Alligator mississippiensis: one gene and its partners. Each later gene encodes a partner of the first gene's protein in a complex. Links are inferred from orthologs where the notes say so. Each region holds a gene or a part of one and is shown in the gene's direction. Other genes may lie near its edges.

Region 1 (6,930 bases):
GCTGGGGAGGGCTCAGGCCGGGGTCCCACTCGGGCGCACCCTGCCCTGCCCACCTCCGCCCAGCAGCAGCACCGTGGTCTGGTTGATCCCGCAGCGCTTGCTCATGTCCTTCAGCCTCCGGCTGCTCTCCAGGTCCTAAAGGAAAGCGGGTCAGGGAAGGCAAGCGGTGGCCCTCGCCCTACGCTTGGTTGCGGCTGCAGGGGGTGGGGGACGACGAGGCAGGTACCTTTCTCCTGGCAGTAATGAACACCTTCCCATCTTCCACTTTCACCTGCGGGGACCGGAGGAGAGTGGGAGGTCAGCGCTGCACTGGCGCTGCCAGAGGCCCTGTGGGCCGAGGCGCGGTGCCGGGACGGGCCAGGCAGGCTCTGCTAGGAGGACCTGGAGCCCCAGTGGTACCGACGGACTGGGAGCAGGGCACAGCCTCCGATTCCCCTGGGGCCGTGGGCTTGCTTTGCACGGGAGGTAGCTTTGTGCATCATCCCCTGGCGTGGGCTTCAGCATGGGCACCTGGGTCTGGTCCAGGGACCCCCAGGAAGCGGAGAAGCCCCACGGTTACAGGAGCCAATGCAGATAGCTGCAAAGAGCCTGGGCAGGGCCCGTCCGGACACCTGCCCAAGCAGCCGGGGCTGGGCTCGGCTGGGACAGGGTCGATGCCCGGGCACGGCGACGGGGTGCAGCCAAGCCACAGTCACCTGGAAGCAGGGCAGGCAGTCCAGAGTCGGGTACTCCTCGATGTCCCCGGTCTTGATGTCAAAGCAGGCGCCGTGCCAGGGGCAGCGCAGCCGGTTGCCCTTCAGCACTCCTGCGAGGCAGACCCGGGCAGAGGGTGAGCAGTGGGAGCAGAGCTGGCTCCAGGACTCCCGTGTGCCTGCTGCGCTGGGCAGGGGCACAACCCCGCGGGGGTACGGGGGCAGGCGCGGGCGTCCTCCCCGATCCCATCGGGGGCTGCGGGGCTGTGGGGCGGCGTGTGGGGCGGTGGGGCTGCCCTCACCTTTGCAGAGGGGCGCTCCGTAGTGCGGGCAGCGGCTGCCCAGGGCCCAGAACTGCGTCCCGCTCCGCACCAGCAGCACCGGGAAGCCGGCGACCTCCACCTCCCGCAGCCTGCGGGCACAGGGCGGCGCGCTGAGCAGCGCCCCGGGCACGGGCACGGGCACGGCCAGGGCTGCCCAGCCCGGCCCGGCCCGGCCCGGGGCACCCACCGTCCTGCCGGGCAGCGCGGGGGGGCACTCACTCTCCGTCGCACACGTCGCACTCGCGGCACACCTCCTGCGTGACCGTGCCCGGGTCTGTGTCGCCGGCGGCTGCCTGGGGGCTGCGCCCGGGGAGGAGCGGGGTGAGCGCGGGGCGCGCCCGGCCCGGCCCGGCCACACCCGGCTCGGCCCCCCGCCCGCATCTGCGGATACTCGCCTGCTCCCGGGCTGCGGCGCCCTGTCCATCGCGGCCGGCCGAGCGCACCCGGCGGTGGCGGGGCGAGGCGGGGCGGGCCGCGCTACTTGTAGCCGCCGCCGCCCACGGCGCGTCGCCTTGCACAAGGTGCGGGGCTGCACCGCGCCCGCCGCCCGCCCCCCCGGGCCGTCACGTGCGGAGCTCCCGGCGGGGCGGGCGGGGCGGGGCGGGCTCCCGGCATACCCGGCTGCTGTCGCCCGGGCTGAGCCGGAGCAGCGGCCCCGCACGCAGCTCGGCCGGGTGGGGCGGAGCGGAGCGGAGCCTGGCCCAGGTGCGGGGGCTGCGGGGCTCGCCGGCCCGGGCACACGGAGCCCCCTCGGGCGGGTGCGGGTGCGGGAGCCGGCTCGTGCCGCTGTGCCGCGCTGGGCGCCCCCCGGCTCCCCGCGTTGGCCGCAGGAGTGGGCCGGGAAGGGGCTGGAGCCCGCCCGCAGGAGGCCCGCCAGGCTCGGCCGGGCAGGGGCCGCCTCTCCTGCGGGTCCCGGGGGGACGAGACTGCTGACTCTGCTTGCAGAAGCTGCTTAGCTGCAGAGAAAGAAGCAGCGCTTCTGGTTCTCCGACTTCAAAGCCCAGAGCCAGGAGCTTTGTTTTGTTTTGAATTTAATTTGTATCCAAGGCCAAACCGGCCAAACCCAATTCCAAATCCGAGCGCAGAACTGGAAGCGGCGCTGCACCGCCGCACACCCTCCTCCTGCACCTGGGGCTTCAGACGTTTCCAAAACCTTTGGCGGGCGTCCTACTTGCAGGCCCAAGCCCAGAGGTTTGGGGCTTGGATGCCCCCAAGTTTTGCTTGCCCTCAGCCATAAGACCCCAGGAGCAAGCAAGGGACGAGACCTCCCGTTCCCGTAAACTGGGCTTAAAGCTGCTGCACCTCAGTGGGTGCTGAACCACGCCAGAAGAGCAGTTCTCCCTCCTGTGGTGCGGTTCAGGACAACGGCCGTCTTGGACACAGCTACGCGCTATCTCCCCTGCCAGGTTAAGCAGCCGCCAGCTTGTCCTGAGCCTTCAAGAGGCCGAGACGTGCAACAAGGTGCCAATGGGAGGCGTAAATCAGAGACGTAGCAGCTGCGGGGACCAGGACCTTAACCGAGACAAATGCATCGTCTGTACGGCAACCCTGGCTGAGCGTCTGTCCAGCTCCTGGCTGGGGACAGCAAGTGCTTTGGGCACTACTGGAGGGATGTGGGAGCCAGGGTCGTCCAGAGGACGTGAGAGAAGCCAGGATGTTTTGGGGTGCTCTCTCTTGCTGGACAAAAGATCCAACGGAAGACATCGCCAGTGTCTTTCAGCATCGCCGCCGGGGAAGGAGGGCTGCACCTGTGTCGGGGACGGTGTGAGCGAGCCCCGGGCGCGGGACGACCCGACAGCAGTAGCTCCTGAGCGAGCAGCAGGCAGGGGTGAGAGCGTACGACCTGGGCTGCACCTCCTCCTGCTCCCGCCGCCGGACGCGCGCCCCTGCGCTCTCGCGCTCCTCCGGCCTTTGCCAAGGCGTTTGAGTCGCTTCCTCCTCCAGGGTCGCGGGCTCTCGAATGCTTCCCGGTGCCTGCGAGCTGGTCTAATAAAAGGTGTCGTCCCTGAACCAAGAGCTCTGGAGTTGTGCATTCCCCCATGCTGGAGCAGCTGCAGAGACGCGGCCGCCAGGAGCGAGCCGGTCTCCGAGGAGCGCTCGGGGTCGGGCTCTGGCTTTGCCCCGCGGCGGGGGCCGAGCTCAGACGCCCGCACCGGTTCACAAAGCCAAGAGCTTGTTTTGAGCAGAGCTGGGATAAAAAACCTGGGGATTTGCCCGATGCAGGCAGCTCCTGAGGGCCTGCAGAGAGGGCTGGGAGCCGCGCTGGAGCGGGGAGGTGACTCATGGGAGTGTGGAAATAATCTGGCTTGAGCTGACTCGTGACACGCGGATTACGACGGGTGTGAGATGCCCGGCAGGCAAGCCGCTCGCTGGGCTTCACCCACACAGACGTGAGCGGGGCGTGCGCGGGACGGCTGCTCGGAGCTGCGCACGGCGCCACGGCCCTGCCTGCGTTTCGGGGACGGCGCCGCCCCTGGAGGCTGGCCAGGCGCTGCGGAGAGCAGGGCCCAGGGGACGGCATGGCAGTGGTGCTGAGCCCGGTGGCTGCAAGGGGAGCGTGGGGCGCACGGGGGCATCCTGGGCACGGCCCCCGTCCCTTCCCCTCGCCGCCCGCGGGAGTCACCCGCTCCCAGGCTCCTCGCGCCCGGCCGCACGTGGCCGCACGTGGCAGGCGACACCCGCGCCGCTGGGGGGCGCTCACGCCCACCAATCAGGGCGAGCCCTGCTGGGGTCAGGCCTGTCCCGGAAGTATATCCTAGCGCGCGACCCCCCCTCCTCACGCCCTCCTCTTCCGGCCAGGGCGCCCGCCTCCTCCCCGCGCGAGTGCTCTGATAGGCTGCCCTTCCTCTCCGTCTCGCAACCCGAGAGCTCATTGGTGCAGGCGCTGCCCCGCCCCCTGGCTGCATCCGGGTGCCTGGCGCGGGCCGCCATTGCGGAGCGGAGCGGAGCGGGGCCATGGCGGCCGTGTTCCCGTACCGCGCGGGCTGCGCGCCCGTGCCCAGCCCGCTGGCGCCGCTGCCCGACTACATGTCTGAGGAGAAGCTGCAGGAGAAGGGTGCGTGGCGGGGCGGGGCCGGGGGGGAGGGGCGTGGGGGGCAGTGGGGGAGGGGCGGGCCTGACTCGGGTCTCGCGTGTCCGCAGCCCGCAAGTGGCAGCAGCTGCAGGCGAAGCGCTACGCGGAGAAGAGGAAGTTCGGGTTCGTGGACGCGCAGAAGGAGGACATGCCGCCCGAGCACGTGCGCAAGATCATCCGCGACCACGGCGACATGACCAACAGGAAGTTCCGGCACGACAAGCGGGTCTACCTGGGGTGCGTGTTGCGCTATGTTGCGCTGCGCCGTGCGGGGCGGGCCGGGCCGGCGCGGTGCCGCGTGCGGGAGGCGCGCCCGTGCGGCGGGAGGCACCGTGCGGGTGGCCGGGCGGGTTGTGACGGAGCGGTCGTGCCGCAGGGCCCTGAAGTACATGCCGCACGCCGTGCTGAAGCTGCTGGAGAACATGCCGATGCCGTGGGAGCAGATCCGAGACGTGCCGGTGCTGTACCACATCACGGGCGCCATCTCCTTCGTCAACGAGATCCCGTGGGTCATCGAGCCCGTGTACATCGCGCAGTGGGGGTGAGCCGCCGCGGCCCTCGGGCCTGGGGGGTCTGGGGCGCGGCTCGAGCCGGCGGGGCGGGCCGTGTCTGATGGTGTCGGGTTGTGCCAGGTCCATGTGGATCATGATGAGACGCGAGAAGAGGGACCGGCGTCACTTCAAAAGGATGCGGTTCCCCCCCTTCGACGACGAGGAGCCGCCTCTCGACTACGCCGACAACATCCTGGACGTGGAGCCGCTGGAAGCCATTCAGCTGGAGCTGGACCCGGAGGAAGACGCCCCCGTGCTGGACTGGTTCTACGACCACCAGCCCCTGAAGGACAACAGGAAGTGAGTACCCTTTCTCGGCGGCGCGTTTCACTGCAAAGCGTCGTGCGGCGCCGCCGAAACGTGGCCATCGGGAGGAGAGCAGCAGACGCCGTGCGCAGCGTGGGGCGCGGGGTGGGGGGACCGGAGCGTGGAAGCTGTCCTGGGCCCTTCCGCGTCTGCGGAGAGCTCGCGGGACCCGGACACTTGAGGTTGCTCCTGGCCAGACGTCTGCAACGAGATGAAACTCGGCGTATCTTCCAGGGAAGCACGAAGGACTGAATCTGGAGTCAGAGCAGCGTTTCGGGAGAACTTCGTGCGTGGTATTTAGACAGTGTTGTCTGCTGTGAACGGGCCGGCTGCGTTATGCTTTGGCCAGCCAAACCTCCTGGGGAAAATTGCATTGGCACGTTGTGCTGTCTGGCAGGTTGCTTGCTACAGTCCCAAGCGTTAACATCTAAATCTTGGGTATAGGGGTAGAGAGGGGAGTTTGCACGGTAGCAGGTGGAGGTGCGCGTTGTCTGGAGCGGACTGGAATAAATACGCAGTCTTCCCTCCTTTTGCGGAGGGAACGGCGAGATGATTCGCTTTCCCGTTTGCAGTAAGTGGGATGGGGCAGAGAAGGCGCTTGAAGGGTCGGTCGCCTTCTGGCCTGGCGGTGACTGGTCGGCGCGGTGCTTTCCTTGCAGGTACGTGAATGGTTCCACATACCAGCGCTGGCAGTTCACACTCCCCATGATGTCCACCTTATACCGCCTGGCCAATCAGCTGCTGACAGATCTTGTGGATGACAACTACTTCTATCTGTTTGACCTGAAGGCCTTCTTCACTTCCAAGGCCCTGAACATGGCTATTCCCGGGGGTCCCAAGTTTGAGCCTCTTGTTCGAGACATTAACTTGCAGTAAGTGCTGAGCTGGGGACAGGAGGGAAGATGGGCGCTGCCTGGTCTGGGAGTGGGATCCTCAGTGTGCTGCGCGATTTGTCCCAGGCCAAATGCTGTTGGGCGGCTCCTGGCAGCGAGGTAGTCGTGCATGTGGGTAGGCGCTTGTTTCTTTAGAGGCTGCGTCGGTATTGGAGTGGGGGAGGGGGTAGAATGCGAGGGCGCTGCAAATGCTGACCCTGCCGTTTTGGTCCCTGACCTTTGCTTGCACTGCACTCCGCATTCTCACCGGATGGCCTCTCTCTTCTCAAAGGGATGAAGACTGGAACGAATTCAATGACATCAACAAAATCATCATCAGGCAGCCCATCAGGACAGAGTACAAAATTGCTTTCCCTTACCTATATAACAACCTGCCACATCACGTGCATCTGACCTGGTAAGTACAGCCCTGTCTGCTGCCTGGGGTGTGGAGAGTTTGTCCAGGCAAGACGCGCTAACACTTTGCACGTGTTGCAGGTATCATACGCCAAATGTGGTCTTTATCAAAACAGAAGATCCGGACTTGCCAGCTTTCTACTTTGATCCATTGATCAATCCAATCTCTCACAGGCACTCTGTCAAGGTGAGTTACTGCCCGTGAGCCAGGGGGGCACTGGGCTGGGAGAAAGGAGCCCTGGCTTGGAGCCTTGTGTAGACCTCGTGTTGAGGGAAGGGCTTTGGCGTAGCGTAATGACTTTGCCTCACGTGGTAGCCAATGCAAACTGCCAGGGAAAATGATAGGCCTGTTTGTAAAAGCGTTGCTGTTCGGTGCTGTCTGTGAAGGGGCGTGATCCTTCCTGGCCCCAACCAGCGAACAAGGGCGTGATTCCAAGCAGTGGGCTGATCATCTCTCCGGCACCGCAAATGAGTCTGGTTCACGTACAAATCTCTGATCTCTTCTGAGCTCCGCTAACTTGCTTCTGCCTTCACAGTGTGCACCTGTGACTTCCACAGTGTAGTTCTAGCATAAGCTTTGTCTCTGTACCCACTCCTGGCACCCTGTCAATCACCGAATGTGCGAGTAGGACCCCATACGTATACTACTTTGCTGACATATAAAATAGGGGAGTCTACTTTTTTTTTTGCTCTGGT
Region 2 (6,853 bases), on another chromosome or scaffold:
AGCGCTGGAGTCTGCCGTCGATGGCCAGTCGAGGCTTCTTTCAGTGTGGTGTTATCTTCAAGAAGGGGGTTGCCGGCTGGTCCTTCTGGCTGGACGGGTCGGGTGCTGGTCAAGTGGGAGATCAAGAGGGCGCCCCTGAGGGTCACTTTTCACTGCTTTTTATTTGTCCTTGGCAGACTTTGGTGATTCCCCAGTTTTCAGGTTTGCCCAATCCAGGGGTCATTGACCCTCGTGGGACTTCCCCCCTTGGTGGCTACTGGATGGCATCTGTCAGCCCCAGGGGTTGTCCGCATGTACGTGCAGGTTTGGAAGTCCATTGATGAATTTTGAATAGGGCTCTGGGAGCGGTCGATTTGGAGATATTCAGCCCAAAAGTTGGTCCCCGGCGTTGATTAACTCAGGCCAGGGCTTCTAGCCCTTGAACAGTGAGGTTTAGAGATTTCCCGGTTGTTACATTGGCTTCTATTGATTTCTTCCGTTGGTTGATCTGCAGTTTCCCAGGTGTTAATTGCTGCCTGCTACAGTGTTACACATTCAATCACTGATTCACTCCCTCTTTCAGGGGCCAGCCTGATACAGGGAAGCCAAAGTTTGACTCCTGCCCTTATTAACATTGCTACTAAACACATTTATAGTTGAAAGTTGAAAGGTGAGCAGTATAAAATATAAGCTACAAATGCCATTGCACACAAATAGATAAAAATACCAAAATACACGGGGAGATACAAAATGCACACATACAATTTTTAAAACACAATTCCTTATCTTAAAGTGAAAGAAAGAGGAAGGAAGAAAAGGTAGAAGAGGACAAACTTATTCAAAGAGGGGAGAGCAACTGCAGGCAAGAGGAAAAGGGGGCTTTCTGCTACAGTGCTACACTGCTGGTTCTAGCCCTAGAGGACCATCTGCCAGCCTTGGAGAACCAGAGCCCAGGGCTGTTTCTATATTTTATATTAAGAAGATACAGAAATAGTCCTGGAAAAAGGAACCTGGTAAACTTGGACTCACTGCAGGTGTATGTCTAAACTATGAGGCCACAGTCTTGCTCCCTCCCTTTCTGTACTCCCATTTCTGGCCCAATGGATCCTCAATTATTTTTCTGCACATCAGCATGAGGGATGGTGCCCTTCTATTCCCAGAATAGCCTATGGTCTGTTGTTTGGGTATAGTCCTGAGAGACAGGAGATGAGCTTAGTCCTTTGAAGGAAAGGACGTAAGTGTTGACCTTCAGCAGGTTTTAGGACTATGCATCTGAGTGGATGAAGACACCGGAGGACTAAGATTTAATACTTGCTCCTGTTCTCATCTTTTCCTATTGGGAAGCTCTAGGTTACTGTGTATGGCATCTGTATTTTAATACCTCTTTTGAGCTGCCTATCTCTCCCCTTGTTATTCACATGAAGCCCATGTACTTCCCCATAAAGGTATGGGGACCAGGCTCCTATGAATTAGGTACTGCAGCCTATGTTCTATATGGGCTCTGGTCCGTATTAGTTCAGTCCCCATTTTGCAAAACTAGGTTAATAATTCTTGCCTACCTTATAGGACATGGCTCAGCAGCCTATGGCCTGCAGGCCACATCCAGCCTGTGGGTCATTTGATCCAGCTTGTGGCTGTGGAGCATTAGCAGTAGTTGCTTCCCCTGTCATGGGGAAAAGCAGTGGTGGCACCTCGGTCCCAACTGGATCACTGGCCTATAGCCTAAGCAGGCTACCAACTGCTGTTACAGATTTTTGTTAGGATAAAAGTACATGAAAGATTTCTAGGTGTTAGTATACTGTGGCATTGTGGGCCATGTACATTCTTCCCAATGGAAATCTCATGGGATTCTGACTCCTACAGGGCACTTAATTCTTGGCCGTCTCAAAAAAATTATTTTTATTAAAAGAACGACAGGTACAAAAACAGAGAGGGAAATGTCATGACACAAAAATGCCTTTAGCTTCTTAACTGTAACACATTATAATTAATTCCAATCCTTGTCTAAGGTTTAGTGGCAGCTCTTAAGCTTTTTATAATAAGAGCTTTAAGAGGCTGAGCATTATATAAAGCTCAGGCTGCAAATATATTTGTGCAGTACAGACTGGCATCTTTTCCCATGTTTCTGATTGGAAGGAGAACATAACAGGCCCTCTGATTTTAGAAAAACAAGTTTCTCACCTACTACTGAAGTGCCAGGACCTCTTTGTACATCTATGGTTTTTTTCCCTCTCTCCCTCAAGTAGTTATGAAATTCAATAAAAGAAATACTCATCACTGTCATTTTAATCATTTTCATCACTGTCTGAAAAAGGGAGGACCCCAAACTACCGTAAATGGGAGCTAGACAAAGCTGTTTAATTTGCATCAAAGTAGCTCTATTTATCCAGTAAGGCCTTAACTGAAGGGTATGGCAATAATACTAATGCAAAACAGAAGAATCCAGCTTGAATGCTTACACAGACAAGTACTAAAAAGTTAAGAAGTAACTATGCAATTGCAATGTTGAAGGGCCCTATCTACATTACACATATTATGCAATTTACTGGTTAATTGTGCAATTCATTTAGACCGGCTACAGGTGTAAAGTAACTATCACTCCATAAAAAACATCCTTCCCTCTATAAAGTTAGAGCTTGAGGCAGGAGATGAGCTTATTTCTTTGAAGAAAAGGGTGTAGGTGCTAACCTTCAGCAGGTTTTAAGACTACACCCCCAGTAGGTGAAGACATTGTGTCATAACATTTCCCCTCACTGTTTTGTACCTTTCCTTCTGCAGTCATGAAAGTGTTCCCATGGCGGAGCAGCCCCTGAGGAAGCAGGAGGGTGCATGTAGTGGGGAATACTGCATGACAGCTATGCCCCCTCAGCTGAGAGCCCCACAGCTCCCAGGCCTCCCAGCTGAGGGGGTGCCCCACACTGCCGTGGCAGTGTCCCGTGCACTGCACCAGCGCTCTCAGGGGGTGCACATGCATCCCCATGCACCCCCTATGTGTCGCCACTGGATGGCGTTAAGGTGTGACTGGCAATAGGGTGTGAGTGGACCGGATGCTGGGTCCCAGACACACCTCTTGCCTGGCGACTGTGTGGGTCATACATCAGATCCCATCACACCTTTCCCTAGACATCTGAAGGGGCCCAAATAGTGTTGCCAGGTGTATGATAATTTCAACTCTCCTACGATGTATGATCAGTAATAATAAAAATGGTTCAAAATGTACAGTCATTTTTGAGAAAGCTAATTGAAGCAGCGTATGCAAAAGGTAAGTCACTCTCAGGGAGTCTTACCAACTTTTGGTTTTGCTTTCAGTACTTTCATATTACTGCTTGCCTCAAAATAAAGAGATGCTTCAACTTTGATGACCCAGTTCTCACCCATTCACGGGCAGTGAACAATAGAAAGTAAAGTAAGAAAGAAGACTTATTTGCATACTGTTTCAGTGTACAATAGTTTTTCAGCAAATACGATAATTTTGGGCTTCCAATAAAATAATTTCAGGGGTGTAGGCTGTAGCTGTGTCGCTCTGAGGACATAAGCAGACAAGGCTCTGGGTAAATCCGGTATCTTTCATTAAAGCCACTGAAACTGTTGGACGAATTCTCCCTGGCAAGCCAGCCCCGCCCGCACGCGGACACGTGACGTCAGCACCAGCCTCTGGCAGGAGGGAAAACCCAGTGCGGCACAGCGCAGCCAATTCCCCGGGATCACGCATGCGCAGTAACACCCCCGCGCTTTCTTGCCGAGGCGCAGGTTCGTTTCAGCGCATGCGTATTCAAAACCTTCCCCCTCCCCCCCGCCCCGGTCCTCCAACGCGCCCAGTGTCGCGAGAACAGAGCACAGTTGGCGTCAGCTCCGTTTCCAGAGCGCCGCACTTCCTTCCGTCACCGGAAGTCATTTGCTGCGGGCTGTCTCGCGGGAGCCTGTAGCCGGGGCCGGTGCGGGGCGCGGGAGCTGCCGCCATGACGTCCGCCTTGGAGAACTACATCAACCGTATCCCTCCGGGCCTCGCTCGTGTGGCGTCATGGGGGGGGGAGCAGGCGGGTGCGTGCGGGACGCGGGGCAGCCGGGCCCTGGAGGCAGCGGGTCCGCGCTTGGAGCCCCCATCCGGAGCAGGCTGCGGCGAGGGCGGCGGTGCTCGCGGACCGCCCGCCTCCTGCATCCTCTCGAGCGGAGCCCAGCACAAGGCCGCGCGGGCTGGGGCTCTGTGACCCGACTAGCGGGTCTCACACCTTGCACACAGCCGGACTGAGCTGCCCGCGGGGCCTGTGCTGCCTGCCGCACCCACACAGGCAGCTGGGGGCCCTGTCTGGACCAGCCCCAGGGTCAGGCTGATAGGGCTGCTAGCAGTACATGTCTCCTGCCAGCCCCACACACCATGTGCCAGGCCAGCCCCGGAGTGGGGCGCGCGCTGCTGCGTGGGGGCTGTGGCAGGCGAGCTCTGCGCACAAGCTCTGGCCCGGCCTGAGCCCTCCAGCAGACAGGCCCAGCAGTCCTCATCCTGCACATGGGAGTAGATGAGTTTGACACCTCTAGTTTGGAACATGAAATGGCTTTGCATGGTTTCAAGGCCAAACATTTGAAGGGGGGGGCATTATGTATGCAATGTATTGGATTTTTTTAAGTGTTTCCTTAATGGGCCCGCTAGGCACTGTTGCTGTAATTACCTCGGATGGAAGGATGATAGTGGTGAGACATTTCTTCTTCTCAACATCATGTTGCGTCTCCTCAAAAGTCTTTAGCAACCCAACAGGCAGCACTTAGGATGTAAACGTCAACAGTCAAACCCTGACAGTGTGTGCAGGACCACCAAAAGCGTGTGATATTAAGTGGGGTTGACAGTAGCAGGAAGCGTACACCAGGTGGCAGCAATTGAAGGAGTTCACAAGATGCAGCAAGTTATAAAGACCCATTTCTGTTCTAGAGTCGCACGTTGCACTAGGGGCCACAAAGCCTGTCTACTTCTATCTGTTCATTTTATGAAGGGCTGTGCCCCAACTCTAAATAGAGGGGCCAGGGTTTATAGCCTGCTCCTTTGGTGTATGTTACAGAAGTTCATGACAATACACCTGACACATTTTCTTATCTAACATAAGATATGAAAGAAACACCACAAACACAATCTGTTAAAAGTTAAATAATGATGAGCTGAAGGTAAAAGAGGCTCTATAACTGTGCTCGCAAGTTGAAAAGTAGCTTCAGCCCCTCTGTTCCATCCTCCATTGCTCTCGTAATAAAAGCCTCAATAATAGAGTTGAGTGTGATATGAACAAGAGTGATTGAATATAGTTTATTGGAAGAGATCCCTTTCATTATTGCAGCTTGTGTGCTGTGCCTTATCACCTGAGGGTTTAGCACTTTTTAGCCTGTTAATTCCCCTCTTCTGATAAACTTGTAAAAGCAAATATTTTCTCTTGGCTTCTTATAAAGTTGGCCTGCGGAATTCTGGTATGTACTGTGTATATTGTTGCATCCATTCCCATTTATAGTGAGAAGGAACTTACTCTACCAAATTCTGTATTTAAGCATTATGATTATCATTAAACCAATCAAAGACTCAAAGTTTCTATTTGTGTTCTGTTTCTTAAAAGTTCAGTACTTAGCTTGACTGTTAGCTTTTTTCTCCTGAAATTCAGTCTCTTGTAATGACCTAAGACAAATTTGAGGTGTGATAAATTAAAGGTCTAGTTGGTTTGCTTTCAAAATGATGCAATATGATAGTGTTATTCGTCACTGAAATTGATATGCCAAGCATCTATCGTATAACTTGCACAAAATGTTATCCAAATTTAGAGAACATTGTTTTCAGCTTTCTGCCAGGCATTGCAGTGTGGCAGCCATTTTAACATTTTTGAAGTACCTCGATTTATTTTCTTAGTATTAACTATTAGAAATGTTTCTGCTAATTTAAGCACATGTGACTAATCAACAAACTTTTATGAGTTTTCTTGCTTGTAAATATAAGAAAAAGAGATTATATGCTGTCAGTGATATGCTAATAACTCTTTATTTCCTGGTTCAGTACAGCATCCTGATTATTTTGTATAAAGCCATAGTCTGAAACCTTATTATTGAACATCTTCACTTATGAGGAAGCCAAATGTGATTGGCTTGGAGTACTTTCTACCATTACAACTCATGCCCTTATTTTGCCAAGCCTGTTCCCCATCCTTCAAATCCACTCTCAAGACTCAAGCTGTACATTGCTGAGAACTGTCAGGTTCTGTGCCACTTCCTGTTTAGCTATGTTTTCCTCTCATAGCTACTTTGGATTTTGTTTTCCCATGCCCTTAGGCTGGATGCTCCGTGGGGGTGAGGGTATGTGTGTGTACAAAGCCCATACAGACACTGATTCTGATTGATTTTCTTCTCTACTAAAATAATTTAAGAGTTATTGACTGTACTGTGCATCAGATACTTTATAGCAGTAGTGCTCAACTTCTGGCCAATAGGTGAGATCCAGCCCATGTGGCCATATTATCCTGTCTCTGGGTGTCCCCTGAGGTCCGGAAATGTGGTGGCAGGGGAACAGCAGCAGCGTTAATTGTTTCTTCTGTCCTGTCAAATTTCCAGAGCCATGGGGAGCCTTGTGGGCTGGATTGAACTAGCACGCCAGGGGTTACTTTACAGCTGGATTTACCTGCAGACCAGTCCCTTGCTGGATCAGGCCAGAGGACTGACCACTTGCATGGGATGTGGTACACAGAGCAGCTCCATGCCACTTATCTGGCTTGTGGGGTAGGAAGGCTGAACATCACAGCTCTACAGTAACTGCCTGTTTGTATAATACGTGTAGTAAGTGGTGGCTAACCTGTGGTAACTCATTTCTCTTCCATTGAAACTAAATTATTATGGGTTAGTTTCTGCTTACCATGGG
Region 3 (7,122 bases), on another chromosome or scaffold:
CACATTCACTCCTTGCCACGACACTTGGGTTCTGTGTCCTTTTGTGTTTGTCTATCTCCCCCTCCCTGGAGGCTTGGGTTCTGCATGCATTTAAGTGTCCATCTGTCCCGCTCCTGGATGCCTGGGTTTTGTATGGGTTTTCATCTGTCTACCTGCCCCTTGCCAGGACACCTGGGTTGTATATGTCCTTTCCTGTTTGTCTGTCTGTCTCCCCCTCCTGGATGCCTGGGTTCTGTATGTGGTTTTGTGTCCATCTGTCCTGCTCCTGGATGGCTGGGTTCCATGGGTGTCTTCATGTCTGTCTGTCTTATCTGTCCCTTGCCAGGACACCTGGGTTGTCTGAGTCCTTTTATATTCATCTGTCTCCAACTCCTGGGCACCTCAGTTGTGTGTACGTTTCTGCCCATCGGTCCACCTGTCCCTGGCCAGGCATCAGGGTCCTGTTGTCCTTTCCTATCTATCCCCTCCCCCCCCCCGGACACCTGGGTCGTTTTCCTGTCTCTTCTGTCCTCTTCTAGGACACCTGGGTCTGTGTTCTTTTGTGTCAGTCTCTCCCTCACTCCCAGATGCCTGGGCTCTATGTGCATCTCCTGGCTGGCTGTCTTTCCCTCCCCCCCTCCCTCCCTCCCCCAAGACACCTCCCCGGGAGGGGGAGGGGTTGTCCAACCACCCCTGCTTCACTGCACCCCCTCCAATCCCTCCCATCCAACCCCGACCCAGACATGCCTGGTTGGGGGTGGGGCCTGGAGCTCTGCCTCCCATCCCAGAGCCTGTGCCCAGAGAGGGGAGCTGGGGGGTGGGGATCAACCTCTAAGTGCCCCCTTCCATTAGAGCCCGAGCCCAGGCCCAGGCCCCCTCTGCTGGCCGGAGGTGGCACTGCGGGGTGAGGCGAGGACATGGGGTGGGGACGTTACAACCAGATCTGGTAAGGGCCCCTGGGAGTCACTCACACAATCCAGATGCCGGTGATGGAGAAGGCAGAGAGGCTGATGGGAAGGATGATCCAGGCGGTCATGGGAGGGCCGGCAGGGGGGAGCTGGGGGGTTGGGGGGGGCACTGGCTATTGCCCCGCGTCTCTGCCCCGAAGCATCTGGAGGCTGCGGGGGGGTGGGGGGTAAACAGATTGCTGGACAGATGTTGGAAGGGCCTGGACCCCCAAAGAACCAGGCGTCTGGGCTCCTGCCCCTCTACCCCCCAGCCAGGCAGCATACCCAGGTGTCCAGGCTCCCGATACCCAGCTATGCTCTAACTACTCGGTCTCTCACCTCCACCCCTGGGGAAGGGACCCAGGTGCCCGGACTCCCATCAGACTGCTCCCAAGGGCCCGGACGCCTGAGTTCTCGCGGGGGAGAGGGGAGGAGAATGGGGGCTGCACAGTTGGCTTCCCCCCCCCCCAACTCGGAGGGACTAGGTTGGTGCCCACCCTGCTGCAACCACGTGGCTAACGAAGGAGCCCCGGGAACAAGCCCGGCTGGGGGGAACTGGAGACGCAGTTAGTGGGCAGGCCCCCCAGAGTGCCACCCCCACGAGGGAAAACTGAGGCACGGGGCGGATGATGTCATAGCAGCCCCTCCTCCCCCCAGGGTCACAGCTGGGCCCCAGCCAGGCAGGGGACCCAGGCGTCCGGGCTCCTGGCCCCTCATTGCTCTGACCACTAGGCTGTTCGCCCCCACCCCCGGCGGGAACCAGGCGTCGGGGATCCTGTCACGGGACCCCCACCCCTTACCCGGCCGCGCCGAGTCCACACGGGCCTTTAAAGGGCCAGGCCGGCCCCGCCCCGCCCCCTCCCGCGCGGGGCATGCCGGGAACTAGAGTCCTGCCGCCCTCTCCATGGGACTACAACTCCCGGCGTGCCCAGCGCCGCTGTCCCATAACGTCACTTAACGGGGCGGTGCTTGCATAATGAGCCAGCCAAGAAGGGGCGGGCGCGGCTGCCCCCATCCCCCAGCCCGGACACCTGGGTTCTTTGCTGGGGGGAGGGGCATGTGTGTGCCCGTCCGTTTCCCCGACCCCTTGTCTGCCCACACACTCCTGTTCCTCTCATGACATCATTGTGACCTCATTGTAATGTCACACCCACCATCTCCCCTTTCCACCTGCCCCCAACCTCCTACGGCCTGGCCCCTCCCAGATACCTGGGTCCCCCTGCCAGCACCCCTCTGGTCCCACCCGCTCTGCCTCAGTTTCCTAGGAGAAAACAGCTCTGGACTCCTGTGTTCCCACCAGTGTTTATTGTCTGGGCTGCGGGACAGGCTCAGGCCCAGCGCCCGCTGCCCACTCAAGGCCTGGCCTGGCGCTTGTGCAGCTCCTCCCGCACCCGCTGGCACAAAGCCTGGCGCAGGACAGGTTCCAGCGGGCTGTGGGCGCACACCTGCTGCGCCACCTCCTCAGGGCTGTCATCCTGCGGGGAGACAGGGTGAGAGGTTGCGGCCCCCATGAGCCGGGGCCTGCGGGGCAGAGGGTAGCTCATGCTGAAGCCCCTGGGGGTGGCTGTAGGCAGTGCATAGGCAGGTATGGGGGGGGCACATGCCACCCCCTTGCTGCCGACATGGCTGCGACCAGTCCCCACTCGCAACCTCCCCCCTGCTACCGACACTGTCGCTGCTGACGGTCCCCGCTCGCTGCCGACAAATGGTGTTCCCCCAGTCTCGGGAGGCACCAGTTGTTCATGGTGTTGCCGCCTTCCCATCCCTGCCAGACCCCAGGGACTACAGCCAAGTGCCAACCTCCTGGTGGGCCTGGGGGTTGTGCAGCCAGGTGCCAACCCACCTGTCCAGGGGGTGCACCCTATTGCCCCCTGCCCTCCCACCCACAGGAGCTTGAGACCCCTGCTGGACCCCAGGGCACTGCAGACAGGACCTAAGGCCGCTAGTGCTGTCCTGGGGTGCTGCAGCCCGCCTACCCGGGCACCCTGCCCCTCACCTGGTGGACGATGACGGCTGTGACATCACCGCTGTCGGCTTCGAACTCGAGGCAGAACAGCTCGGGGCCCCGAGGGTCAGGCTCGGGGCTGGAGCTGCTCTCGCTGGAGCCCTCGTAGTCCAGGCTGTAGCTGGGGTCCGGCTGGCCTGGGCAGAGAGGGGCCTGTGAGGGCAGAGGGGCAGCCTCCTGCCCCTAAGCCTTGACCTGCAGCCCCTGCCCCTGCTGCTGCCCCTGCCCCCCAGCCCAGGCGCCGGGCTCACTTCGCCGCCGGGGGTGATACACCTGCTGGTCGGGCTTGCGGGGCCGCGGGGGGGTTGGCGTGTGCCTCTTCTTCACCTTCTCCTTGGCTTGCTTCATCTCCCGGTCGTAGTCATCCCTGCGGGCAGCAGGGCATGAGGCCGGGTGTCTCCCAGCGGTCCCCAGCATGGGGGGCAGAAGCCTCGGGCGGGGCAGGGGTTCTCAACCCGGGGGCGCTGGGGCTGGGGGCACGGGGGACGGATAGGTGGGGGGCAGGTGGGGAGTGCGGGGCACGGCGGGCGGCACCTGGCGATCTGGTTGCGGCGGATACTGCGCACGAAGCCGTGGCTCATGTCCAGCCGCCCGCCCGGCCGCCCCCCACCGCCCCGCTCCAGCTCCAGCTCCGGCTCCGGCTCCGGGGCCGCCTCCATCGGGCCGCCGCCCGGCCCCGCCCCCCGTTACCCCCCCAGGTGGGTTTGGGGACTCGGTCCCCCTCGGGCTGTGCAGGCGGCTAGGGCCGCGCCCCGAGGGGGCGGGGCGGGGCGGGGCGGGGGGCCTGGTGTAGCAGAGACGTCCCGGCCCGAGGGCGGCGAGCAGCTTCTAGGAAAAACGGGAAAAAAGGGGGCGCTGTGTCTTTAAGGAGGGAACTCCGGGGAGAGCAGCGGTCGGCCACCTGGCAGCCCGTAGGGAGCATGCGCAATCTTAGAAAGGCTGCTGGGGGGAGTTAGGGTCAGCTCTGACTGAACATCATTAGGATGTGAGTGCGCATGTACGAGAGACACCAGAGGGGAAATGCGAATCGGATGGAAACAGGGATCCGTAGTAAAGCAGACGCCCACAGGCTCTGCGTGTCGGCGCATGCGCAAAAAGGCGGAAGTAAGCGCTTGGTTCTACCCAGCTCCACCCTCGTCATCGCTGCGGCGCATGCGCAGAGAGGCAACGCGGGCTGTGTTGGGGGTGCGGCCATGTCGAGCCGTGTGAAACGGGAGCGGGAGCGGGAGCTGCGCGCGTCCCCAAGGGGCTCGGCGCGGGGCAAGCGCGAGGCTGACGGGGACTCGCGGGGGGGCGCGGCGCGGGAGCGCGACCGGGGCCGCGCCCGGCGGGAGCCCGAGCCCGACCGCGCGCGCCTGAAGCGCGAGGCCGAATCGGAGCGGGACCGCGCACGGCGGGAGCGCGCCGGGGAGCGGGAGCGCGCCGAGGGGCCGCCCCGCATCAAGCGCGAGCGCGAGGCAGAGGCCGACTCCGACCCGGAGCCCGAAGTCACCGGTGGGCGCGGGGGGCCGGGTCGGGGGAGGGGAGGGGAGGTAGGACGCCTGGGTTCCGCCGCTGACGCGTGTCCGTGTCCTGCAGTGCGCTACGGACGCTTTGACCCCGAGGACCGGCGCAGCCGCCACTGCCCCTACCTAGACACCATCAACAGGTGCGGGGCAGGACCTCACGTGCACAGGGTGCTTGGGCGTGTGCACATGTGTGCATGTGTGGCCACACTGGCATGCACATGTGTGTAGGCTCGCATGTACCACACATGTCTGCCTCGGCATAGAGGCGTGCCCACATGTGCTCCATGACCGCCATGCCCCTATGTGCACGCACCCGCCCAGGCTCTGGAGCAGGGGCAACATCTGCCTCCTGCCGGCCCAGGGCTGGGAGCCGGGGTGCGGCAAGGGGGAGGTCCCAGAGGCGGCCTCAGACAGGTCTGCGCTGGGGCCACCTTCAGGCCCTGCCCACTCAGCCTCTTCCCCATTCACTCCCAGGAGTGTCCTGGACTTCGACTTTGAGAAGCTCTGCTCCATCTCCCTGTCGCACATCAACGTCTATGCCTGCCTTGTCTGCGGCAAGTACTTCCAGGGTGAGTGCTCAAATGCGACTGTGCAGCACCATGCAGGGGGACCGGGTGGCAGGGGCCTGCAGCGGGTTCCTCTGGTCTTGACTCTTCCCCCAGGCCTCACGGTTCAGGAGCCAGCAAAGCTGGGAAGCATAACGCTACTGTTGCTGTACAGTGTGCCCAGGGCGCTCCAGCAAAGCGCTACTTCATTCACACAGCCTAGCTTTGCATGTACAAACATGTGTGCATATATGATCATGTGTGATTGTGAATGCAAATACATGTACGTGTGGATGTGCATGTATACATGCATATATACATGCAAGTGTGCATGTGCACATGCCTATACATAAATCCACGTGCATACATGTGCACGTACACATGCATAAATCCTTGTTTGTGTGGGAATGTATATGTACATGTTTGCATGTATGTGTCTATATATGTATATATACATGTGTATGTAATTGTGTGTGCATGTGTGTGCACTTGTATACGTGCATATATGTACAAAAATCCATGTGCATACCTGTGTATGCATGTCTATGTATGTGTGTACATGTGTATGTGTGTCCGTTTATACACATCTGTGTGTGGAGGTGTATATATGCAAACGTGTAGATGTGTGTGCCTTGACTACTGCCCCTTTCACGTGCAGGCCGCGGCCTGAAGTCCCACGCCTACATCCACAGTGTGCAGTTCAGCCACCATGTCTTCCTGAACCTGCACACGCTCAAGTTCTACTGCCTGCCTGACAACTACGAGATCATTGACTCCTCCCTGGAGGATATCACGGTATGTTTAGGGGAGGGACTGAGACACGGGAGGGACTGGGAGGAGCAGGGGGCACAGCACGAAGAAACCTTAGAGACAACTGTGAGTTCCGGTCAGTCACCAAGGCCCCGCCAGGTTTTTGGTCACAAGGCACAGCCCTAACACACACATGATCTGACAGCCAAGGCGTGCACATATGTTTGTCCATGTCATAGCACACCCCTATTCAGACTCCTCTAGGCTGAGCCAGTTCCCATCCTTTCCCTGGTTCCTTTTCTACAGCCATCCATGCACATGGTGTGTCACCTTCCACTGGTCTCTCGAATATCTGGAGGGATCATGGGCCTCTGGGCTTTACTGGATGGGTTCCCATCCCAGCCTGAGCCTTCTGGGACTGAACTATTCCACCCCTTGTCCAGCCATCCCATGACAGGAGCCCATGCCTGGCTCAAGTGCCTAATGTTGCTTTTATCAGGACTTCAGGTATTGGTCAGGGGCACTGATCAAGCCAGTGCTTTAGCAAAGGCTTTGCACAAGCAGCGTATGTAGCAATCAGTGGTCCAGCCAGGCCTAGGGGCTGGAACAGGCTCTTTTTGCCCATAGCAAATCTCTGCCTATACCTAGGGTTGGATCCCAACTGAGAGCCTGCAGTGTGAAGCAGCTGCACACAAGGTGGATGTGGTTTTGGGAGGCATCAATAGGTGGGTTGGGGCAAGATGCAGGAGGTGATCATGCCTCTACTCTAGATTGCATGCCATTATGGCTTCCACTTTTTAAACACAATGTGGAAATCTGAGAAAGGGTCCAGAGCTAGTGACAAATATGGAGGGCTTGGAAAGCAAGTCCTGCAAGGAGAGGATGAAGGAGCTGGGCTTGGGGGGAAAAGGCACCTAAGAGGCATGATACAGGTGGCGGGGGGAGTGGTTAAGCCTTCTCTAGAGGCACTGGTTGTTGGCTGCAGCCCAGCATGGGGATGGCGACTGGGCTGTACCAGTGCTCCTGCTGGGACTCGAACCATAGCGTCCTGGCTAGAGGATCTTGCCTTTTCATTCATGCTCAGACCACAGTTGCATTTGGGGTCTAGAAGTAATTTCTCCCCCAGTCAGATTGGTATGGAGTGGGGGGGAAGGGTTCCCTTCCTCTGTAGTGGAGGCACAGACTTCCTCGGGGATTTCTGGAGCATCTATTAACAACTCTTTACAGCAGCAGGATGCTGGCCACCACAGCTCCCCTGCTTTCTCTGGAAGGCTCAGAGGTGATGTCTGGTGTTGTGCCAGCATTGTCTTATGGAGAGTTTAGATGATGGATGGGTCTGGGATGGTTTGGACAGTGCTGATCTTGCCTCAGGCAGGGGGTTAGACTAG
Region 4 (7,470 bases), on another chromosome or scaffold:
CAATTACATAATATTCATCAGCTTCAACAAAAGTTCCATTACATAAGAAATATATTTTAGGGAACAAAAGACATGCTGTAAGGAACTATTCCACACTGGTAGGTGAATGATTACTTATTAGGTCTTTTCAATCACACAGTTCTCTATAATGCTTAGAATAAAGCCAGGAAAGAAAAACATTTATGAAATACTGCCATTATCTTCTCCAGTAATGTGCTATAACCAAAAAGAAGGGCTAGAAACTACCTTTCATATTCAGTTCAGCAAAGAAGAGGTATAGTCTGAGACTGTTTTCACTAGTTTGCAGGTTGTCATAAGGAATCATCTAAGTGAGGTTCCTGGATAAATCTGATTATTGTTTATGAGAGAGGGTTTTTTTCATTGTTTGAAATTCTCCTTCCTGCTAGCTGAGGCAATAAAAAGAACAAGGCATTGTAGAACAAGATGTCAGCTTGTGTAATAAAACAGGAAGCCTGCTGCTGTATTTTAAAGCAAATTGTTGCCATACTCTGTGACTTTTCCATGGTTCACCCTATGTAGCTATGGGCACTTGTGGAAGAGGAATAGAGGTCTGGAAGCTGTCATACACTCAGGTGGAATAATGTCAGGCACAAACTGCTCTGACTTTGTGAAATTTTTCACTCCCTCTGCGCGTAGCTAAGTAACAAAGCACAAATTAGTAACATAGTTCTCCTACCTGCATTGTAATATATTACAGGATAACTGTCAGCAAGTGCAGCATTGGGAAAGTAATAATGACAATCAGGATCAGCTGACTTGATTTTACTTGCAGTGAGACTTGAAACAGATATGCTTTACATTAATAATATGATTAGGAACACATTTCCATGAGCAGTGTGACATTCTTTTCATTGAAGTCTCAAGCATCCATTTTTGAGATAAAGGCTTAATGCACCAGTGACTTTCTGCAGCTTTTCTGTTGGAAAACATTTGACTATGCTTTTGCATTTATCCTGCTTATCTCATGGCAGTGTTACCAATTTACTGTGTAGATATTTATATTTGGGTCTTCCTTAGACAAATTGTGTGGATGTTACAGGAGAGGTGTGACAAGGTGACTTGTCAGGTTTAGCCCCAAGTGAAGGAAAATAAAAGCACAAATGTCACATGATAACCATGTGACTAAAATCCAGGTTCGCTGGGATTTGTGAGCAGCTTGTGATGAGACAGAAGAACTGGTAGAAGACTTGGGGAGTGTGAACTCAAGAATTAGTGCTAGGTGAAGAATGAAAGCTGTTCAGTAAGGTTATGTCTATACCACTTCTCTCTTGACTGGGAAGTAAAGCTTAGTCAGTCACTGCTGCTGGGGGATACCCAAAGCCTGCAATTAGACAATGCAAATGCTAATGAGCGATGCTGAGCTTTTTTGAGGGCATGAGTGCAGACTTGCTTCAGCCCTATTTTGCAGTTTTATATTGCCTAATTGCAGGTATTAGATGTGACCCACTGGGAACAAGTGGGCACAACTAACTTCCCCAGGAGCAGATGTGGGTTCAGGAGAGAAATGGTATAGTTATGGCTTTAAAAGCCATGGAGACTATAGTCTGTGTTAGTCAGGGGAGTTGCTTTGTTTTGATACTATTTATGAGGCTTGTGCTGGAACAATAAATTGTGCCCCAAGGTAAATAAAGCCTTGAAGTTTTTTACTAGTTCCTTTTAGGGTTGGTAAGAAAGCCACCGGCCCAGGAACCTAAATGGGAGATGAGAAGAGTTAGCAAGTTTTACATGATGCACGTCTAAATGTTTTGCAGAATTTTGGAAAATCACAACTTGTTTTCTCAAACATAAGATCTCCATTTGGATATTGGAAGGTTTAAATCTTTATCATTTTCCTTCGTAGTTGAAGGAGCCCTCATTTCATCTCATGAGTGAGATAATGGGTTTTCCTGTTCAAGAATAGGAATGTAATGTCAGGAATATTGCCTTTGTATGTCTCCTTTGTCTATAAAATTATAAATCCCCTATTCTAAAGACATTAATGAAGTGATTCTCAGCCATGGTACCATGAAGTCCTTTCAAGGGTGCTGTGGAGTGCAACACAATGTTAGCACTGGTAGGTGTGCAAACACATATTCATGCTTTACAAGATAAACCCCAGATAGGAATCCATCGTGTCAAAGATATTCTGACCTGTTGTGGTCTTTGAGTTCTTTGCCACAGAAGAACTTCTCTTTAATTTTTCTGTAGTCAAAAAAAGAAGTGAAAGCTAAGAGCTGACATTTTTCAAGTAGTGCCTTGAGTCTAAAAAGGTTGAAAACCACTGCGTTAATGTATATTTCCAAAGGCTGCAGTAGCTCTAAGTGATTGCCAACATCATCATTTGAGTGAACTTCACATGAGAGTGCATCACCTGGATTGGAGGGGTGTAGGTTGTACACCACCTAGATTGTGCATCACCTAGATTGGTTAATTCAGTTTATAGCATGTCCTATGTAGGAACAAGCTGGTACACAATCTTTTTTAAGGCTAATAATCCAAAATGTGAGCACACAACTGAAAAGTGATCCGTAATGACTTGTATATCTTTCTAGGAATGAATAACCAAGACAGTCAGTCACTAACAAACAGAAGTTCCTGGGTGAGTCCTCAATCACACTTGTTTTTGCTTGCATCCAGTTGGGATTAAACTATCTTTCTGTCAGTCCGCATTCTAAACTGAATACCTATATTAAATTCAGGCAACAGCTAGTAGCTTGGCAGTTAAGACATTAAAATTGTGGGTGTGAGGATGCAGCCTTATTTTACACCATTTGTTACTGAAAATGGATTGGAGGCATCATGCTTGTCATTGTCCCATCATAATATTGTCTATTACAGCAAACTTGTTGGGGCATCCAAGAGAAGCGTCCGTAAGCCTTCTCTGCTGCCAGTGTTAACTGTGTTTTTAAGATCAACAGAGATACAGTAGAGGTCAATATCCTGTTTTCTGCATTTCTCTTTATATTTGCTGTGTAAAGATCCTACCTGTTGTGCCTCTCCCTTCTCTGAAATTGCTTTGGTTATACGACAAATGTTTCTCAGCTTTATGGCAACTAAAGTCCATCCAGTAGTAAAACAAACTCCAGGTTCTGTTATCTTCTTTGGACTGATCACTCCAAAAGAAATGTAGGCCATCCCAGACTCCGTAGGTTGACCTTCTCCTGTAAGGCAATTTTCACTTAGCACTAGTGTGTGGTTTCTATAGATGCTTGATTTTTCTGCTAATCATTGCAGTTCATTCTGGCTTAAGTGTCACTGTAAGTGTGTGTATGTTCTGGATCACTTTGTTCAGAGAGGTAAATTTGGCTTTATTTTCACTGGGATACTTATCGGCTGTACAGGCTGACCAGAATACATTCAAAGCAGGCAGCAATTAGGTCATTTTTCTAGCCCCTTTGTCGGACCATAGACGTGAGTAGTGCAGTTCTAAAAAGCTAGCTAGGAAGGTTATTTACAGCCTTTCCTAAAACAACAGTATTAAAAAGGGCTGGTCAGTGTTCTATGGGGGGCTGCTAACTCCACTGCTCCCTGATCCAGCCAAAAAAACCCAACCCCCACAACTGTCCATAGGTTTGCATCTGAAACTCCCAACTGCATTTTTACCTGCACCTTGCCTAACCCTGAAGACTTTCACAGGATGCAGAAAGTTTGCACAAGGTGAGAAGAACTGCAACTATCTATGATTTGTGCTCAGCCGACCTAACGCTTCCAGTGTTGCTCATCAAGGCCCAGCGACAGGAGAGAACACAGTCAAATGCCTATAAACTTAATTATGCAAAAGGCAAGAATTTCTTAGGGTGATAGCTTTTCCTGGAGCAATTATGTAGTTGGCATAAAGTTAGACGAGCTTTCAAACGCAAGATATTCTTCCTCAAGTCTTGAAAGCTGGTCTAACTTTATTTTAACCCAACTGGCTGATCCAATAAGAGCGATTGTTCTAAGAAATCCTTGCTTCTAGCAGACCCTCCGGGCTACGACATCACTCTTGCACTTTTAGCCACACTTTTAGCTTCTCTCATTTCTTGGAGTCTCAGTCCAGCATAGATAGACTCCCTGTGCTGGAAGAAGGGTGAATGCAACCGAAAGCTTGCCAAAAACTTTTTTCTAACTACTTGGTCTAATAAAAGATGCCGCATCTACCCAAAGAAACTTGCCTGCCTTTTGCACTACCATAAACTTAATTCAAAGTGAGAAAGTATTGCCTCCTGCTGCCACGGGTCCCTCCAGACTGTGCAAAGTGGCTGACTTAGGGGATCTGAAAAGCAGAGCATGCACAAGTAAGGACGCAGCGTCCTCTATGCAAGTCTCCCTTGGTCAGTGCCCTGCGTGGCCCTGGGGCCAGAGCATGCGAAAGGGGCTTGGCAAAAGGTCTACTTAATTGCTCCAACATCGATTGATTGAGTCTGGCGGGGGAGGGGGCGCTCCAAGCCATTCAGCTCGCTCCTTCGCATCTCGCTCGGCTTATTTCCCCTTGGAGGCTGTGCGATTGAGCAGGTCTGCTTCCAAAATGGCGGCCAACGCGACGACTAACCCGTCGCAGCTCCTGCCGCTCGGTGAGTGGGTTTCCGCTAGGGTCTAGCGGAGCGGGGAGGAAGCAAAGGCTCTGGTTTCCGCGGGCTCTGGGTGCGTGGGAAGCGCTAGTACTGGCTACAGGGATGGATGGATTGGAGGAGGGGACGAAGCGCGAGAACTGTTAGACCGTTTGCGGGACGCGGCTGGGGGAGGGGAGTCACGTGAGACTGCGCTGCGATCGCGGCTCCCTCCCGGCGTGGGTGGAACGATGATGACGTACGTCGTACGTGGAGTGCGCAGGCTGGGGGGGGGGGGAGGGTGTTACGTGACGCGTGGGAGGGGCGATGCTGCAGCAGGGTGGGGTGGGGACTCTGGCTGTCACTGGACCGGCCGCAGGGTTGTTGTGTGTGTGGAAGTGCTACTTCAGCGGCCCGTTGGCTGTCTGCAGCTGCTTGGTCACTTTTTTATGCTGTGCTCATTACTCTGCACTAGTGGCCAGGCCACTTATTGCACATTTCACCCATGAGTTGTGCAGTATAGGTAACGCGTAGATGGGGCCACGTAAGGATGCAGCTCCCCTCTGGAAGATGTCTGTCCAAAGGCATTTTGGCCTGTAAAAGGTTTCCTCCCATATGCTTCTCTTACAGAGGCAGGAGGGAAAAACGGAGCTCCCAAACGATCCCGTTCTTCCCTAGCTAAAATTCTGCTGTCCCAAAGATTTTTTTAAATGTGGATTATACCTTCTAAGAATGTATTATTTAATTTATCTATCTTTGTTAATGGCAGCACTGCTCAACCTTTGGGACCCTCAACCTCATCCCAGGCCGGATGCTGCGTGGGGTGGTTGTTTTGGACTGGCTGCATGCCAGCCTGACCCCTGTCTACCCACTCTGGCCATGGGCTGGCCTGACCCCACGTGCCTAATCTAGCCGTGTGCAGGCTCAGCCCTGCACGCAGAGCCACAGCATCCAGCTTGCCAGGCTTTTCCCAGGTCTGGAACCTTAGCAGTAGGAAAGGGGCTGCTAACACTGCTACTGCTCCAAATTTTGGGGCCTGTGCAAAGACCTATGTGCCAGATGACATTACCTCATGGGCTGGTGGTTGAGCATCACTGGTTAATAGGATGTAGAAAAAAATGTAAAGATTAAATGTAAACATAAACCCTATGTGAATTGTTATTTAGATTTCTATGCAGCTGGATCTGGAAAGTGCTTAGCATGTTGGGTACTGTTGAAATTGATTATCATTAATAGTAATATTACTAAAACTTCATTCCAAAGTGGGCTCGCTAGGGTTATATAGTACTCGGTATGCCCTTGTGTTGTGTATATAACAGTGGATATCCAAACAAAAGCTATTTTTATATGTATTGGTCTGTCAATGTTTCTGGCATTCTGTTTGAATGTGCACTTGTTTATCCTCACATTCTGTAAAAGGTGAACATTAAAAATAGATGTCCATTTATTCTATATGATGACAAATGCTTTTAAATTTGCAGAGCTTGTGGACAAATGTATAGGCTCACGTATTCACATTGTGATGAAGAGTGATAAAGAAATTGTTGGCACGCTCCTAGGGTTTGATGACTTTGTCAGTATCCTTTACATGAAACATTTTCAGGGTATCAATTTTTGTGTTTGCCTCTTCAATGCCTTTACATGTGTTTTAAGTTCTTTCCAACCTCCAAACATTTTTGCACTGACAAATATGCTACTTGAAGTTGGAAATAAAAAAGGCATGGCTTTTGTTATGAAATGAAAATAAACTTCAGTTTAATAACTTTATGTTTTCTGTAGTTTTATTCCTTGATCCTAGACTTCAGACATGGTTTTAGAGGATGTTACAGAATTGTAAGTATTATATCTTTCTTGGCTATTTTAACTTCGTTGTTTTCACATGCCGAAAAATTCTAACAAAAGAATATATACTGATTTCTGGAAAGCAGAATTCCTATTTGGAGGAGGATGGTGGGGCATGAGGCTTCTTGAGTCTGGTGTGTGTGGTGGAGGGAGGCGGGGGAAGATCCTCAAGAAAGTGCTCACTGTCACAATGCCCTGTAGAGCACTGTGGGAAGGTGGAGAACCCAGACATCTCCTGTCATGCTCTGCAGAGCATGCCACTGTAGTAAAAAGTGCTTATGGAAATAATCTTGTTGGAAACAAGTACTATTGAGGGTTCCACCATTTTTATTTTTGTTTTAGTACATTAAAAGAAGTACATGCCTGTTTGGCTTGCTCTTCAAAGATAATTGAAGCATCTCAACATTACCTCTGTCCGCACCCCTAAGCCTCAGTTTGAAAGTGTATATATTACTGTCCAGTAATTTTTCAGTCACCTCTTAAATGACTATATTAGGAGCGTACAGCTTAGGATCCACAGGCAATGCTTATCAATTTATCCTAAAAACTACTCCTGAAGAAAGAGAAAAAATTAAATATAAACCTTTCTCCCCCCAGTTGTTTGTTTTTTCCATATTTGACTGAGTCATTTGACAGTTAGTTATTATTCAAGCTAGGGCATTGTCTGAAGATCATTAACTCTGGGGCATGCCATTTTGAAAGTTTTATGTCCTTCTGCTCTTGAACATGTTAGGATTTTGGTATGTGACTAGAAGGGTGAGGAAGATTGGCCAGCCTTGAACTGTGCATTTCTGGTGGAAAAGTCAGTGATTGAGCATGGATACCTCACCAGTATCAATGCTATGTACGTTCTTCTGTGGTTGAGAGGAGGCTTTTGTTTTGGCATTTTTTTCCTAGATGGTAGCTGTATGTACCCTGCCAGCTACTGTGTAGTGTAGAGATCCCTAACTTAGTGTTAAACAAGTTACCTTGGGTACCTGAACCAGTTTACTCATGGCACCAGTGAGCTCTTCTTACCCTGCTGAAAGCACTGTTGATATTCCTTAGTGTTTGCTACAGAAAAGAGTTTCTGTAACTGATGTGCTTAAATGGAGTAAAA

Evidence for each region.
Region 2: PRPF8 (region 1) and LSM8 share a complex: the UniProt entries of both Homo sapiens proteins name them as parts of the U4/U6-U5 tri-snRNP complex. The link is inferred for Alligator mississippiensis from reciprocal best matches to the Homo sapiens genes PRPF8 and LSM8.
Region 3: PRPF8 (region 1) and USP39 share a complex: the UniProt entries of both Homo sapiens proteins name them as parts of the U4/U6-U5 tri-snRNP complex. The link is inferred for Alligator mississippiensis from reciprocal best matches to the Homo sapiens genes PRPF8 and USP39.
Region 4: PRPF8 (region 1) and LSM5 share a complex: the UniProt entries of both Homo sapiens proteins name them as parts of the U4/U6-U5 tri-snRNP complex. The link is inferred for Alligator mississippiensis from reciprocal best matches to the Homo sapiens genes PRPF8 and LSM5.

Annotation. Positions count from the first base shown.
Region 1 is NC_081837.1:504,372-511,301, reverse strand, and holds the start of PRPF8 (pre-mRNA-processing-splicing factor 8), read left to right. Parts: upstream 1-3,930; 5' UTR 3,931-3,970; coding exon 3,971-4,070; intron 4,071-4,156; coding exon 4,157-4,325; intron 4,326-4,464; coding exon 4,465-4,629; intron 4,630-4,720; coding exon 4,721-4,939; intron 4,940-5,604; coding exon 5,605-5,817; intron 5,818-6,109; coding exon 6,110-6,235; intron 6,236-6,315; coding exon 6,316-6,421; intron 6,422-6,930. Other genes in the region: apoptosis-inducing factor 3, read right to left, coding at 54-135, 227-271, 696-805, 995-1,104, 1,235-1,315, 1,411-1,439. UniProt on the Homo sapiens protein: Plays a role in pre-mRNA splicing as core component of precatalytic, catalytic and postcatalytic spliceosomal complexes, both of the predominant U2-type spliceosome and the minor U12-type spliceosome.
Region 2 is NC_081827.1:48,187,889-48,194,741, reverse strand, and holds the start of LSM8 (LSM8 homolog, U6 small nuclear RNA associated), read left to right. Parts: upstream 1-3,839; 5' UTR 3,840-3,938; coding exon 3,939-3,969; intron 3,970-4,624; coding exon 4,625-4,665; intron 4,666-6,853. UniProt on the Homo sapiens protein: Plays a role in pre-mRNA splicing as component of the U4/U6-U5 tri-snRNP complex that is involved in spliceosome assembly, and as component of the precatalytic spliceosome (spliceosome B complex).
Region 3 is NC_081830.1:10,641,739-10,648,860, reverse strand, and holds the start of USP39 (ubiquitin carboxyl-terminal hydrolase 39), read left to right. Parts: upstream 1-4,122; 5' UTR 4,123-4,124; coding exon 4,125-4,425; intron 4,426-4,509; coding exon 4,510-4,579; intron 4,580-4,913; coding exon 4,914-5,008; intron 5,009-5,642; coding exon 5,643-5,779; intron 5,780-7,122. Other genes in the region: TMEM150A (transmembrane protein 150A), read right to left, coding at 951-1,015; C7H2orf68 (UPF0561 protein C2orf68 homolog), read right to left, coding at 2,279-2,401, 2,923-3,068, 3,183-3,298, 3,466-3,590.
Region 4 is NC_081828.1:129,630,425-129,637,894, forward strand, and holds the start of LSM5 (U6 snRNA-associated Sm-like protein LSm5), read left to right. Parts: upstream 1-4,452; 5' UTR 4,453-4,507; coding exon 4,508-4,553; intron 4,554-6,010; coding exon 6,011-6,106; intron 6,107-6,334; coding exon 6,335-6,362; intron 6,363-7,470. UniProt on the Homo sapiens protein: Plays a role in pre-mRNA splicing as component of the U4/U6-U5 tri-snRNP complex that is involved in spliceosome assembly, and as component of the precatalytic spliceosome (spliceosome B complex).